Drosophila melanogaster: one gene and its partner. The protein of the gene in region 1 interacts with the protein of each later gene in a pairwise test. Each region holds a gene or a part of one and is shown in the gene's direction. Other genes may lie near its edges.

Region 1 (7,591 bases):
ATGGTAGGATAGCTTAAATATAAAACTTTAATCTTTAAATGAGCTCTGTGAAACAGTCAGCTGCGTAGAAGAATAAAACATAAATGGCAGCTAAGAAGTGGAAACTTAGACTACTTAAGATTTTAATTTGGCATTCGAAGTATCAATTAAGAATTAGCGGGTTTAAAAGCACATCTAAAAGACATAATAGCAGCTGCTCAGTAGTTTCTTCTATTGCCATAAAAGACATTAGGACAACGCTTAAATTAAATGCTTTTTATGTGCCTTTGGGGATCGAGTCCTTACCCACCACCCACCTTACCCATCCCAGACTCATGCAGTTTGGATTGGGGCATCCCCATTCACACAGTTGACTCCATTAAACAGATGCGTAGTTTCCTCAGGGTTAAGTGTTGGCCCGCAACGCCCCCCGCCAACCGTTCCATGCTCCATGCACCGATTTGGGCCCATAGCGAAAACGCTTTCGAATCGAGTGTGTAATTGGTTTTGTGGCCAGCACACACACACACACACATACACAAATGCAGGCAGGCGACTTGGAAAGTGCAGTAAAATAGGACCTCCGTTTTCCAGGACATTCGTTATGCATATGGGTGTGTGTTTGTCTACGGACGTGTGTGTGCAGACAAAAACACTCGAGAGCATCTATAAGGCGCTCTAATTAATTGTTTATGAGTCATTTGGATGGATTATTAGTGTTGTAACGATTTGTAATGACGCCTAAAACACATCTCTCACTTGTGAATTATTAAATGCCACGTTGCATAATTCCATTTGAATTATTCAGGCTGTCCTCGAATCAGCTGTACTGCCGCTTACCACCTTGAATATAATTTGCATATATCGAAGCTAAGAGGGACTTTGAGATAATTAATTTAATTACATGCCTAATGACGTTCGAGTTGTGAGTTTAAAGTTACGACTTTTTAAAGACTTAAATTACATCTAAAGCTGTTATAATTATTCTAAACAATTCAACTTAAATCTTAATTACAAATGACATTTGTTGATGTTCTGCATAAGTTCAGATTTTGTGTATCTTTTAGCTTAAAGTTACATATTTTTTAAAGGACTTAAAGGATTTTAATGATGTTCCCACCCTTAAGGATATCAAGCTTACTTCCTTTCAAGCTGTGTTCTTTTCGTTTTTTTCCTTGACTTTTCCTCCTGATTCTTATCTAACTGTCAACACTTTTGCGGTAAATTAAATTAAATCATAACTTCAATTACCAGAAAATCGACCACAAAAGCGGCCAACGGTCATTACTCTGGCCAAAACAGCACCCCTCCTCCCCCCACCTTTTTTTTTACCCACCCATCTCGCCATCCCGCTCAATTCATTAACACTTCAAAGTTTTCTGCCCCGGTCGAAAGGGAATGGAAAGAGACGGGCAGATGCTGGGCGAAAGAGAGGGGAATAGCACGCAACAAGACTCGAGGCGTTCGTTAATTTGTTAGATGAACAACAAGCTGCTGTCGCATCTCTAAGGTTTTTGCGGGGAGGCCTCCACTCCAAACATTTCCTACAGAAAAAATCTCACTGCCTTCAGGCAAACGGCAAACAATAAATAAGCGCAAAAGAGCAAGGGCTACTGTGCGAACGGGATGGCGAGCTTTACGTACGTACGTACGTATATATAGAGGAGCACACCACAACCGGAAGAAACTATTGTTCCGGAAAAGTATGCCCAGCTAGTTGCGGATGGCGGAGGGGGGAAAAAAAGCAAAAATGATTTCGCACAAACTTTTCTGTTTAGTCAATCATTTTAATTAGGTAATTTTTTTTCGCCTACTTGTCGTAAAAGTTTTAATAGACGGCCAGCGGAATGGAGTCTCTAGGTTGTTCAGTGGGGTGGGTGGTAAAAAAAAAAATAGACTCGTAACTGCATTTTGCGGTTAATTATAATGTTGAGCCTGATTACATTTGCCAAGTCTCCAGTTCCCCGGCTGGTGACTTTCAGTTAATTGCCGAGATTTGAAGTTAGTTAAATGTGGACCAAGTTGCTAGCAGCAGAATAGCCCTGTTTTGCTCCCAAGACGAGATTGGGTCATGAAATGGCCATAAAAAAGTTTCGCAAAACTTTTCTTAGTCGCTGATCAGAGCGCGCCACCACTTTTGCACCTCTTCAGCCAAAGCTGGTTTGTTGCACATTTCTGCCGACCGTGTAATTAATTTAGTTTATTCTTGCATCACAAGAATTTAAGTGAAATCAATGAATCCAGCTGCGGCAGGCAAAATCCGAGTTTTTCACTCAGCCCGGCGAACTATCTCCAAACGCCCCGGAACTTCCGCCCGCTGATGCTGGGCAACTTTTAGTCCCGGCCACGAATCGAAGTTTAAGCCAACACCCACACCCCATTCAGGTGGATGCACCTTGCATTTTAAGTGCCGCCCCATCACCGCCAGTCCGCCCACTTGTTCTGCAGCCATACGCTTGATTTCCTAACTAAGCACGCAAATGAAGCGTGTGCCCATCAAGGATGCGACTCTATCTCTCTGCGGTTGCACATGGCAGTTATACGAATACGAGTACGGTTGCGATGCGTATATATCCATTCACCTGGCCAGACGGACAGACGCAACAAGAACCAGGAATCGTGGCACGTGGAGACAGCCGCAGCGCAAGGATATGGCAAGGATATAGGAAATGGAGCGGGCGCAGTCAGGGAGCAGAGATGGGCAAAAGTGAACGGAGCTCAAACCGTGTTAAATCGTGGAAATTATGCAATTGCCATGCAACGGCCATGGACTGAGTTCCAACTGGCACAGTGGTTGGAAGCTATGTGAAATGGAATGAATATAGAAGACTAAGGATCCTTATCTAATTCTTTTAAAGAAACACATTTTCAAGTGATCCTTAGAAGTAACTAAGGACTACTTGGGAATCCTACTTTCTAAAGCTAGATAGCTGTCCTATGACATCCTTTTTGGTACCAATCTCAGTAACCATGAGGTGCACCCAAACTCACCTGATAATTTGGCAGCGCCAGCAGTCGGCAAAGTTCATTAGGAGCGCTGCCCATGGAAGCGGGTAGAAGGTATGTGTATGTGGGCATGGAGAACGTGTCGAACTAATTAGCAGATCGAACATCTAGTTCTAGCACCTCCCGAGTGCCGACTGTATATATAGGCCAGGCCACTCTCGCCGAAACTCAGTTGATGTGTACGAAAGTTGTGTTTTGTCCAATCGAACGGCCAAAAGGAATCCAGAACGCAGAGAGAGCCAAATGGCGTCCACCAAGTACGACAGCTTTGAGAAGATATGGTCTGGGCCAAAGGACAAGGAGTACTACGGTCCGGATATGACGCTGGGCGAGGTGGCACTGATCATCCTGCGTCTGTACTCGGACAAGGTGATGCAGGTGTATGATCCCACGGGCGAGGAGCTCACCGGTAGTCAGTTGCTGGAGCAAAGTCGTCGATTGGCCCACGCCTTTCAACGATTGAAGCTGCAACGCGGCGATGTGGTTGGCATTTCGGCCAAGAACACCACCTATCTCACCGAAGTGGTCATCGCAGCCCTGCTGAATGGCACACCCATCAACCCACTGCATCCGGACTTCGATGCGGGTAGAAGAAATCGGATATATATTTATATAACTCGTTAAATGCACAACTTTATACACAGAAACCACGGCCTATATGTTCGAGATCACGAAGCCCAAGGTGATATTCTGCGACCTGGACAACTACCAGACCTTGAGCGCGGTCAAAAGCAGTCTCAAGTTCAAGACGGAGATCATTCTGCTCACTGGAACTCTGCCTGGAGTGCGTAACATTCAGGATTTGCTTGCAGATGGCTGCACTGGATACGATGAGAAAACACTGTATGTAGATGTGAAACCAGAAGTTCAAAGAAAGAACCCTCAAGCTAGTCCTGATCTTCCAGCTTTGCCTGCCCGCATTTGTGTGGCGATGATACGGCCTTCATCATCACCTCCTCGGGTGTAACCGGTTTGCCAAAGGGCGTAACCCGTTCGCATCGCAGTCTGCTGAACAGTGCCAAAATGTGAGTAGAATGTGGCAAGAGCATTTGAAAAATATGACCCCTAATGGATATTAAACAGCCCTCAGCTCTTTACCTCGGATACAGTGCTGTTCTGCTTCAGTCCGCTCTATTGGATCAGCTGTATCTTCACACTGCTCGCTTCGCTGGTCAATGGATGTCGCAGGATCATCACCAATCGTCCTTTCAGCGTGGCGTACTTTGCAGACCTTGTGGAACGACACCAGGTCAGCTTTGTGCTCACAGTGCCCCACCACATGGCTCTGCTGGCCAAGAGCCCAGAGAGACAGGAGCTAGCAGCCAAGATGCAGTGTGTTCAGTCCTTCGTGTGCAGTGGCTCGAAGGTACCGATGGGCATCTGGCGGCAGTTGTACGAGCTACTGGGTGCGAACAGATTCGCCGTGCTCTACGGTCTCACAGAGACCGGAGGAATCTCCAAGAATGTGGGAGGTCCACTGGGCAGCGAGGGCAGGTTGCTGCGAAATGTCCAGGTTCGCGTGGTAGACCCACACGGTCAGTCCTTGGGCCCCAACCAGACGGGCCAGATCCTGGTGCGGCTCAACCTTCGCTGGGGCGGCTACTATCACAATCCGCAGGAGACCCAGGTGACCGTCACGCCCGACGGCAAGTGGTTGCTCACCGGCGATCATGGATACTTTGACGATGAGGGCTGCCTGCACTTTCAGTCCCGTGACACCGATGTCTTCAAGTACAATCACTTCCCCATTTATCCCAAGCAGATCGAGGACGTGATTCTCCATCTGCCCGGAGTCCACGAAGTGGCTGTCTTCGGAATTCCCGATGAGGTGTCCACCAATCTTACAGCCTGTGCAGTGGTTCGGAATGAGGATGAGTTGGGTGCCCAGCTGACCGAGGCGGATGTCAAGGGAGTTGTGGCACAACATCTAAGCGATGCCTTCCACATCCGCGGAGGAGTCTTCTTTGTGGACAATCTGCCGAAGACGCAGAACAGTAAGGTGCAGCGCAGGAAGATCTGGTCGCAGTTGAGCGAGGCAACCACACATTTGTGAGATAAGATTTATGCTAAATATACAATACATGAGTTGTTTATAATCGTGTTTAATAAATGTAAACACAGTGAATCATCACAAGAACTGTGAAAGAAATTAAAAAGTTTCCATGTCTGCTGGACGGCTCGATTTGATTAGCGGAAAACAGAGGCGGCTCCGACTTGCCAATGAGTAAATCAGCATCTATTTTAGTTGACACTGGCGACAAGCATCGATGTCTTGCCGTGTCCTACTAATTAACAGCTCCACTTTGTTTTCCGTACTCCCCGAGCCATATAAAACCCAAATGAGACGCAATAAAGCACTTATTCGATCGCCGGACGTTGGAAAACACTATGAGCTGTGAGGTGCACTACGATGCCGCTTCGCGGACTTGGTTTGGACCGCGTGGCAAGGACTTCTACGGTCCAGAAATGACCCTGGGCGAGGTCATCATGCGCGTGCTGCAGATTAACGCAGATCAGGTGATGCAAATATGTGATACCACGGGTCAGGAGCTCACCGGTGCTCAGTTGGCTCAGCAGAGTGCCCGCATAGCACAGGCCTTCAAGAGATTGGGTCTACGGAGGGGCGATGTCGTTGGCATATCGGCCAATAACTCGACGTATTTAACCAGTGTGATAATTGCGGCTTTGCTCCGTGGCATCCCCATTAATCCACTGCATCCGGAGTTTACTGAAGGTGAGGTTCAAAACTCCTGTACTTACTTTAGTATGCTTACTATTATGATGAAATTAAATTCCCTTTCAGAGACTGTCAAATACATGTACGACATTACCGAGCCGAAGGTTATCTTCTGCGATGTAGAAAACTACCATATAATAAAGACGGTCAATGGAAAACTACAAAATCCCGCCAAGATCTATCTGGTCAATGGAAAATTAGAAGGAGTGCTGGACATAAGCGAGATGCTAAATGATGAAGACAGCATTACAGCAGCCGCGTAAGTTTCTGTGTATTTCGCGATGAACTAAATCAATTCTAATAGATGTTTTCTAATTTTAGGTATGTTCCTTGTCCAAAACTACACGGCGATCACACCGCATTCATTGTGTGCTCCTCGGGAACCACGGGAATGCCAAAAGGCGTCACTCGATCCCATCGAAGTTTACTCTGTAACTGCAAGAAGTATGTTTTCATTTAACCTGCCATCTTCTTGGATATCACCTTTTCCATATATTTATGATACAATTTCTAAGCAATCAGAACGATTACTATATATTTTCAATTATTAATATTATGAGGAATAATACTATCTCCTTACAGTCCGAACACCTACACCCGAGATAGCGTGCTGCTCTCGTTCAGTCCCCTCTACTGGATATCGGGAACCATAATCCTTCTGGCCTCGCTCCTCAATGGTTGTCGTCGCATAATCACCAATCGTCCATACAGCGTGGAGTACCTGCTCCAACTGGTGGCGAGGCACAAGGTGACCTTTCTGTTCCTGGCCTCCCATCAGATTGCCCTGCTATCCAAGCATGACAGTGATGTGATGGAACTGAAGGCCCAGCTCCAATCCATACGGGTTTTGATTGGAGCTGGATCTAAAGTGTGCAAGGCGGTGTGTCGCAGGATGTACGAGTTGATTGGTAACCAGAGATTTGTTGTGGGCTATGGGCTGTCCGAGATGGGCGGACTGAGCAAAAACGTGGGTGGACCAGTGGGTTGCGAGGGCAAGGTTATGCGGAATGTTGAGCTGCGGGTGCTGGACAAACTGAAGATGCCACTTGGCATCAATGAAGTGGGCATCATCTACGCCCGTTTGCGGTTCAAGTGGGCAGGCTACTACCGAAACCCGGAGGCCACTCGAAGAGCCCTCAGCTCCGACGGCATGTGGTTTCGCACGGGAGACATCGGTTACCTTGACAGCGAGGGGTATCTGTACATCCAGACCCGTGACACCGATGTCTTCAAGTTCAACAACTTCCAGATCTATCCCGAGCAGATCGAGGAGTTCATCCTCAGATTGCCCGGCGTCAGTGAGGCCTGTGTCTTCGGCATACCCGACGCGGTGAGCACCAATCTTACGGCCTGCGCCGTGGTCCGCACCAAAAGTCCGGAGGGGGAACGCCTTACGGCGGATCACATCCGAAACATTGTGGAACACCACTTGAGCGGAGCCTACCACATTCGAGGAGGTGTGTATTTCATCGACAGTCTGCCAAAAACACCCAATGATAAACTGCAGAGGCGAAAGGTCCTGGGCCTCGTACAGCAGCTCGAACTTAAAGCTGAATAAAAAATAGTTACCACATCTTTTCCGAGTGTTTTACCTCTAAAAGCATTTAATAATTGATGCATTTTCTAGATTGATTATTTTTAAAAGCAAAGTACTGAACTCTCGACATCAAACCACTGTGCTTTCTTACAGGCTGCTGGCTAACTAATGTCGGCAACTCAATGAATTCTAATCGAGATTCAAATTGTAAAAGCCCTGTCCAAAGGCTTTCGAGGAAGGGGTCTTGGACTTGGATGCTATCCTTGTGGGAGGGGTAGGTCCTGGGACCTGGGACCCATTGGCCATGCCAATGACAAGCAATTTGTTATTTG
Region 2 (7,857 bases), on another chromosome or scaffold:
TCTTTTTCTGCCTCCTTAAACTGATCCCCGTTCCCCTTGCCATCACCTCCACCCTCTTTCACGTTCGCTTATAGCAATTTCCGTAACTGTAGATAAGAAAAAGAAACAACTACGAGAACCACTCCTTGTCTCGTTTGCCATTATAATCTATTGGACTTTATATACGTATGTATGTACATTTGTATTTGCAAGTGTATCTTTAAAACGATTAACATGAATTTCGCAAACTGTTTGCAAGGTCCTATAAACTTATTGCATTAAACACTCTTTAAAAAATATTCAGCTATTTATATGATTTAATATAAGTAGATCACTTCAAATGCAGAAATATTTGTGGCTCTAAAATGTATATTTGAATAAAAATGAATAGTTGTAACATTGTAAAAAAATAACCTATGATAATTCCTAAGCTAATCAAATTTTGTGAAGTGCACGGATACTTTAAGATCTTCAAGAGTATTAACCACTTCGTTTTTGAATATTTGCACATGTGGTGGTATCAATTTTTTATTTATTGACGTCTGTTGGTTCCTGAGTAACGGAACGTGTAAGCGAGCCAGATAAACAATTAATCAATTCTGTCGCACCAGCTAGAATACACACCCACACACATGCATAGCACACCTATGATAGCACACACCCACACCCGCATCGGTGAAAAAGAGAAGCTCCCCCCTTTTCTTTAAAAATATAACTTTTTGAAATCGTCAAAAGTCTGTGAATTTTTAATGCACTTTGCACTGTGCGATTTTTGGATCTTATTTTTGGAGCTTTATTGCGCCAAACTGCCGTAAACAACTAATGGATTTTGTTATTGTGGCGAAATAATTTCGCAAGACACGTGCAGCAGCATGTGTGGGAGTGGAAGTGAAAGAAGAAGAGTGAAGAGTGGAGAGAGCGTGAGGCGGAGGGAGTTGTAGTTGGAGCTGCTTTAAGCTAGACGTCATCGCACTCTCGCCCTCTTCTATTTCGTACCAACACTTTCCGGCGGGGGGCGTGTGAGTGAATGGAATAGGAGCACAGCAAGGGCCGAGAAATTAGCAACGCTGTGAAAAAATGTGGTTACACGGGGTTAGTTGAAGAAGCCTTAGCGAACTAATCATTTTTTATTATTCTCTATTAAATATATCTTTTAATTCTTGTTTTATCTTTCGGCAATTATTTCAAAGTCATGTTGATTTCTCTTTTTAATGCTCTCTTGAAAACTGATGGCCAGCTGACTTCTAGGTGCTAGTTTCTGGCCCCCGACTGTTGGTGTCTGGTCTTGTATAACAGTTATGAGGCCACATGCCAGCACACACGTTTGCAGACATGCCCTCTCACATACATTCCTACAAACATATGGATATACAGACATACATACGTTCGTAAGCCTGTATGTTCACATGCACTCTCACTTGTAGTTGGAAACGCTCTACTCGTTGTTGTTGCAATTACGGACGAGCCTCTTTGGAAAAAATGCTGGAAAACAAAAAAGATCACAAGACATAAACAACAATGCAAAAACGCAGCACCGAATGGAAATTGCACATGAAATCTAGCTGCAAAAATATGAAACAACAAAATTCCATTGAATGGAGAGCCAGAAAGAGCGAAGTAGAGGGGAAGAGAGTGAGAGAAGGAGGGAGCGGAACTTCAAACTGGGCGGCACGTACACACACAAAAGAGGGCAGGGCGGGGAGACGAGCCCCACGGACACTGAACAAAAATACATACAAATGCAAAGATATATGTATTTGAGGATGTTGACGCGTCGCTAGAACTTGAGAATTCCAAGAAGCGGTAAAAACGGGTGAGACGATGATGGTAGGGGAGTTGGGGAGGGGAAGGTAGCTGTCAACAGCTACGCAAACTTGCTCTCCCATTTTTCTGGGTAAACCTTGCTCTTTCTCATCTAAAACGGCATTGTTATACTAACACCGATGCCGAGGGAGAGCGAGATCGCTGAGAGTGGGAAAGCGGGTGGTGGGGCCCGGCGCCGAACAGGGGGTTCAAAGAACGAAGCCAATACGCAGGCAGCAACGAAAAATCCTATTGGCTACTTTTAAATGCGCTACCGACATTAAATGGATATAAATACATGTGTCTCTATCAAATAAAAAAATTTTGCGTACTAACTGGCGACCCACAATGGTAAATATAGTACAGGTGCTTACCTGTACCTGTGGTCTTACTTTTGACCTTCTTCCTTACACAATTTATAATAAAGGCAGTCTACATGTTTAGCTTGAGCTTAATACAAAAGAGATAATTTATTGGGCCTAGGTGGCGTATGAGTAATAAACGTATACTGAATATTTTCTAATAACTTGTTTGCAAAATCAGAAAACTGTTTTTTCTTATATATTTATATAATATATAATACATTTCTGTGCCACAGAAATTCCATTGCACCCCACAGTTTGTAGGGTGTCAATATCAGCCAAATTGCTGACGACGACAAAAGGCGGCTCTCTCATAAGCGGAAGCAAAAAGAGAGAGCGTCGCCGCCAGGCCCTTGTAGTTCCGCGTTTATGGCACGATAAGAACGAGATATTTCTTAAAAATGTTGTAAATTAGTTAGTTAATAGCGTAATTAATATCAAAACAAATTTAACACAGTGATAATAGGCGACCAATTTAATTTGTCAAAGAAATGCAAAACCATTAACCATTAACATTAATTAAACCATTAACATCTTAAGAAAATAATTTTTTTCCTTGAAGAGAAAAGCCTGAAATATATTGACTATATTTGAGATGACAAATTAAAATGTTTATCAAATGCGTGATCACGATATTGCTTACGCGACGCATAAGGGTTTCCGCATAAACACGCGTTTGACTCATTCTCATTCATAGCCACTCTCTCGCCCCCTCTCTCACGCGCACCCTATCAATATGCCATTTGTGGACCCCTCAGCGTCGCACATATACACGCCATATCTCCAACCATGCCGCCCCAAAACCGATTTTCAGTTTTTGACCTTCAAGGTTCCTTCACGGCGAGCGAGAGAGAGAGAGAGTGAGAGTGTGAGCGCGGCTCGCAGTCGCGGTCGGCGCCGGCAGCGCAGCAGCAGCGACAGCGAAAAGTGAGCACCAGTCGGCGAGTGAATTTAATTTCGTAAAAAACGTTCCGAGCGTTTGGACGCGTGCAGCGGACGAAAATAAAACACGGCGAGAGCGAGAATCGTGTGTGTGGACACTCAAAGACTCAAAATTGAAACCAACTCGAAAAGGTTGCACTGCAAATGCCCAAGTAGAAAAGCCAACGCGAGTGTGCACATCGAATACGAAAATTGTAAACGTTTTTTTTTTGCCGTGTGAGTGCAAGCGCATAAGATCGAAGAAAAACAGCCAGAGCAAGAAAGAACCGAAAAAAGGCAGAGAGAATCAAAAAAGAAAAAAGGAAAAAAAAAACAAGCAGGAAAACACCAACATAATAATGGATCGGGAGCTGAACGGGGCGATGAAGAGCGTGTCCATAAATAGCGCCCAACTGAATGGTCACAATAACGGTGGCGGGCTAGATGAAACGGACCGCGTGGGCGTGGCACAGGGGGCGGCACTGAGTGCAACAGAGAAAATTACAACAACGACGGCGGCAGCTACAAAATCAGCGACAGCGACCACAAATGCAACCACAGCAACAGCCACAACCACAAATCTTACAACTCACAGCCCGCAGCAAATTGCACTCTTATCCGCTGCAGAGAAAAGTAAGATGGTGCACGAGTTATGTCAGCAGCTGCTTCTAACGGACGAACAGGTGCAGGAGCTGTGCTACCGCATCCTGCACGAGCTGCGCCGCGGCCTGGCCAAGGATACACATCCCAAGGCGAATGTCAAGTGCTTCGTAACGTATGTGCAGGATCTGCCCAATGGCAATGAGCGTGGCAAGTTCTTGGCCTTGGATCTGGGTGGCACCAACTTCCGGGTGCTGCTCATCCATCTGCAGGAGAACAACGATTTTCAAATGGAGTCCCGCATCTATGCCATACCGCAGCACATTATGATTGGATCGGGTACACAGCTATTCGATCACATCGCCGAATGTCTGTCCAACTTTATGGCCGAGCACAATGTGTACAAGGAGCGTTTGCCACTCGGTTTCACCTTCTCGTTCCCGCTGCGCCAATTGGGTCTGACCAAGGGCCTGCTGGAGACCTGGACCAAGGGCTTCAACTGCGCTGGCGTCGTCAACGAGGATGTTGTCCAGTTGCTAAAGGATGCCATCGCACGGCGCGGCGATGTCCAGATCGATGTGTGTGCCATACTCAATGACACCACTGGCACGCTGATGAGCTGCGCCTGGAAGAATCACAACTGCAAGATCGGTCTGATTGTCGGCACCGGTGCAAATGCCTGCTATATGGAGCGTGTGGAGGAGGCGGAGCTCTTCGCCGCCGAGGATCCGCGCAAGAAGCACGTCCTGATCAACACGGAATGGGGCGCATTCGGCGACAATGGCGCACTGGACTTTGTGCGCACCGAATTCGATCGGGACATCGATGTGCACAGCATCAATCCGGGCAAGCAGACGTTCGAGAAGATGATATCGGGCATGTATATGGGCGAGCTGGTGCGTCTGGTGCTGGTGAAGATGACCCAGGCGGGTATACTCTTCAATGGACAGGATTCCGAAGTGCTAAACACCCGCGGACTGTTCTTCACCAAGTATGTGAGCGAAATTGAAGCTGACGAGCCAGGCAACTTCACCAATTGCCGCCTGGTGCTGGAGGAGCTCGGTCTGACCAATGCCACCGACGGGGACTGCGCCAATGTGCGGTACATCTGCGAGTGCGTCTCGAAACGGGCTGCCCACCTGGTGTCCGCCGGCATTGCCACGCTGATCAACAAAATGGACGAGCCAACGGTGACGGTGGGCGTCGATGGCAGTGTGTACCGCTTCCATCCCAAGTTCCATAACCTGATGGTCGAGAAGATCTCGCAGCTGATCAAGCCGGGCATCACCTTCGATCTGATGCTGTCCGAGGACGGTTCCGGTCGTGGAGCTGCCCTGGTGGCGGCCGTCGCCTGTCGCGAAGACATACTCAATGGCAAGAAGTAGGATGGATAGGGAGCTGGAGCTGGATCAGGAACCAGGAGGAGGAGCCGCTGGAGCAGCTGGAGCAGTCCTAAGAGATACAGCAACACACCCACACAACCACAAAAACAGCAGAGCAAATGAGAAATACCTAGTAAACGGCCACGGTGGCGTATGCGTAATAATTACAGTAGAGCCACGCTAACTCACAAAAGCCCTATAGCCAAACGATATGAAAAAATGAAGCTGCCACGACGAAAAGTAATCGAAAAGCCCACGAAAAACTTATATGTGCATACGTAGGGCATTTGTGAGTTGGCGCGACTTGGCTTTAGTATTTTAATTAGGCAAAAACCAGGTTTTTCACTACAAACACAAGCGTAACAGAAACCCCCCCACTAAGAGACAGAAGATCTGTGGCATTCTATCTCTTTCTCTCCTAGTAAAAGAAAACAAAGAAGAAGAAAAAACACTATGCTTAATGATTATGGATCGATTTTCGATTTTTGTTGAAAATTTGTTATGCTATTATATATATATATATTTTACAAGAAAACATAATATACACACACTAAAAACATAATGTATATGTTTGCGTATATATAGTACAATTTGTGAAGCGAATTTCTTTTCGATTTCGATTGAAACAACAAATTTTTTTTGGTAATTCCCTGCCCAAAAGACCCCTGAAACCCCCCTAAAAAAACGGAGATACTTAAGAGCAAGTGAGAAAAGAAACTGTTATACTACTGTGCTACAAGCATTCTAGCATATCCTGCAGGACAACGGAAAGAGAAACTGTAAAACCGCACATTGTTAAAGCAAAAACGAAAACGAAAAAAGCAACAAAAAACAAGCCGCTAGAGAAGAGACAGAAACAGAGGGATAGAAAGGAAGAGAGCGAGAGAGAGCGAGCGAGAGAAAGAGAGAGAGGATTACTAGGTAATGCTACGGTGTCCTTTCTGTAATTGTAAATGTTTATATAGAACCTATTACGAAGCGTTATATGATAATACTGCATACATATATATAAATATAAATATGATATATTTAGCCACTATATTACTGATTTTTTTTTTTGTAATGTATTGCTTGTCTTTGTTTAGTGAATTTGTTTGTTGTTAACACTTAAGCAGGTAAACTCTAAACAAAAATAAACTGTTTTTTTTTTTCCTTTTGATATAGAAACGCACTTTGTGAGCTATTATTTATGTAATTGTACATTTGACCTAGTTTAGTGTTTAGTTCTTATCTTAGTTTCTAAATGTCGTCGAAGAAGCCAGCAATACAACCAATATAATACCCCCACCCCAAAAAAAAAACCCAACCCACGCAGCCCTTAATTATATTTAATTATTGTTTACGAACAACAAACGAAGAGAATGCGAGAAGCTAAAAGGCAAATAAGCAAAATGGAAAGCAAATAAAATTTGTTCTTAATTCATACACAAGTAGTTGTTACTTATTTCTCCCAAATTAATTGGTTTTCCAAAGTGATTAGGTTTTTTCCAGATTGATTTCAGTATGATTTGATCTGTTTTCCATATGATTCGGTATCATTTGATCATTTTTGCAGCTGCTGGCCGGCATGCTCAGTCAACACAAAAACTTAAACAATTCGCAATTGAGGCAAAACGAAGATACATTTTTTTGGTCTAATACTAAGCGGAGAATGAGCCTAACCTAAGAGATATGTTATAATAAATGGCGGGAGCAGCGAACCAGTGTTTCTATTTTTCAAGAAAGAAAAAAACGAAAAACAAGAAGAATGTAATATAAACTTAGCCCATGTTAAAATGAAAATTGAAAACCAATTAAAAACTCTCGTTATCAAAAGGCGATTCAAACATAAATTGCTAAGAACAAACAAACACAAATCGAAGGCTTGAAAGTGCAGATGAGATGAATTTAGTAAATGATATAAACAAATGGAATGTTTGTCAACAGTGAAGCAAAATAAAGACGATTGAACCAAACAACAGAGAAGCAAATCAAAACGTGATACGTGTTCTTTTGGGCCTAACATAACGGTGTACAATATATTTATTTAAAACTTTATTCTCGTTTTATTGCTATAGTTGCTGCAGACTAAAATTATATATCATCAGAGGCAATAACAATCAGTCAGCACTTAGCTAGCTCAATTTTGTTATTTATATTACTTGAATGCCCTACACAAAAGGCGGGCACTTCGATTTCGCCAGATGTTTTGTTTTATTCGGTGCATAAAATATTTCCCATTTATTTGCTCAGCTGTGTGTGTTTTTGTTATAATATATATTTTTGGATAATGTTCATATAGTAGAACATTCATATTCTTGTATTGTATTGCATTATGACATATTTGGGTATTTTGCTAGGAATTACTTGAGCTAAAAATAGTGCACATAGTGCGTATCCCCTCTTAAATTGTAGGGTATTTCCAGTGCCGCAATCAGCCGTTGCACTTGAGTCTTACGTAGTTTTTCGCCGCTTTTGTAGTCCATTTTAAATTGAATCATTTGCAGTCGGGTTTTCGTTTGACGCATTTGAATTACAAGTGCTGCGATCCACAGCAGACAAAAGGCTTGATTGAGCCATTGATCGCATAAAGGGGCGACGGATTTGGTGGCGGGGGCGGTCGGTTCTGGAATGGGTTGAGCGGTACGACTGATGAGGCGGCGAGGCGGTTAGGCGAGCGTTCGATAAACACCAAAGTCATCGATCGATTCGCGCTGGAAGGGGGCAAAAAGGGGGCTTATTTTTTCTATTATAAAACCTCACAGAGCTCGAGTTCCGCGAAAGTTGTTTATAGAATTTGAAATGAAAACGATTCTCGTGAAACAGCGAGA

Evidence for each region. The genes of interacting proteins can lie anywhere in the genome.
Region 2: the proteins of CG9993 (region 1) and Hex-A interact in a two-hybrid assay, tested with the Drosophila melanogaster proteins (one large-scale study listed by BioGRID).

Annotation. Positions count from the first base shown.
Region 1 is NT_033778.4:20,847,686-20,855,276, reverse strand, and holds CG9993 (uncharacterized protein), read left to right. Parts: upstream 1-3,151; 5' UTR 3,152-3,228; coding exon 3,229-3,571; intron 3,572-3,629; coding exon 3,630-3,828; intron 3,829-3,890; coding exon 3,891-4,010; intron 4,011-4,068; coding exon 4,069-5,038; 3' UTR 5,039-5,131; downstream 5,132-7,591. Other genes in the region: CG17999 (uncharacterized protein), read left to right, coding at 5,374-5,719, 5,789-5,981, 6,044-6,166, 6,305-7,280.
Region 2 is NC_004354.4:9,582,795-9,590,651, forward strand, and holds Hex-A (hexokinase A), read left to right. Parts: upstream 1-3,095; 5' UTR 3,096-3,424; coding exon 3,425-5,050; 3' UTR 5,051-5,607; downstream 5,608-7,857.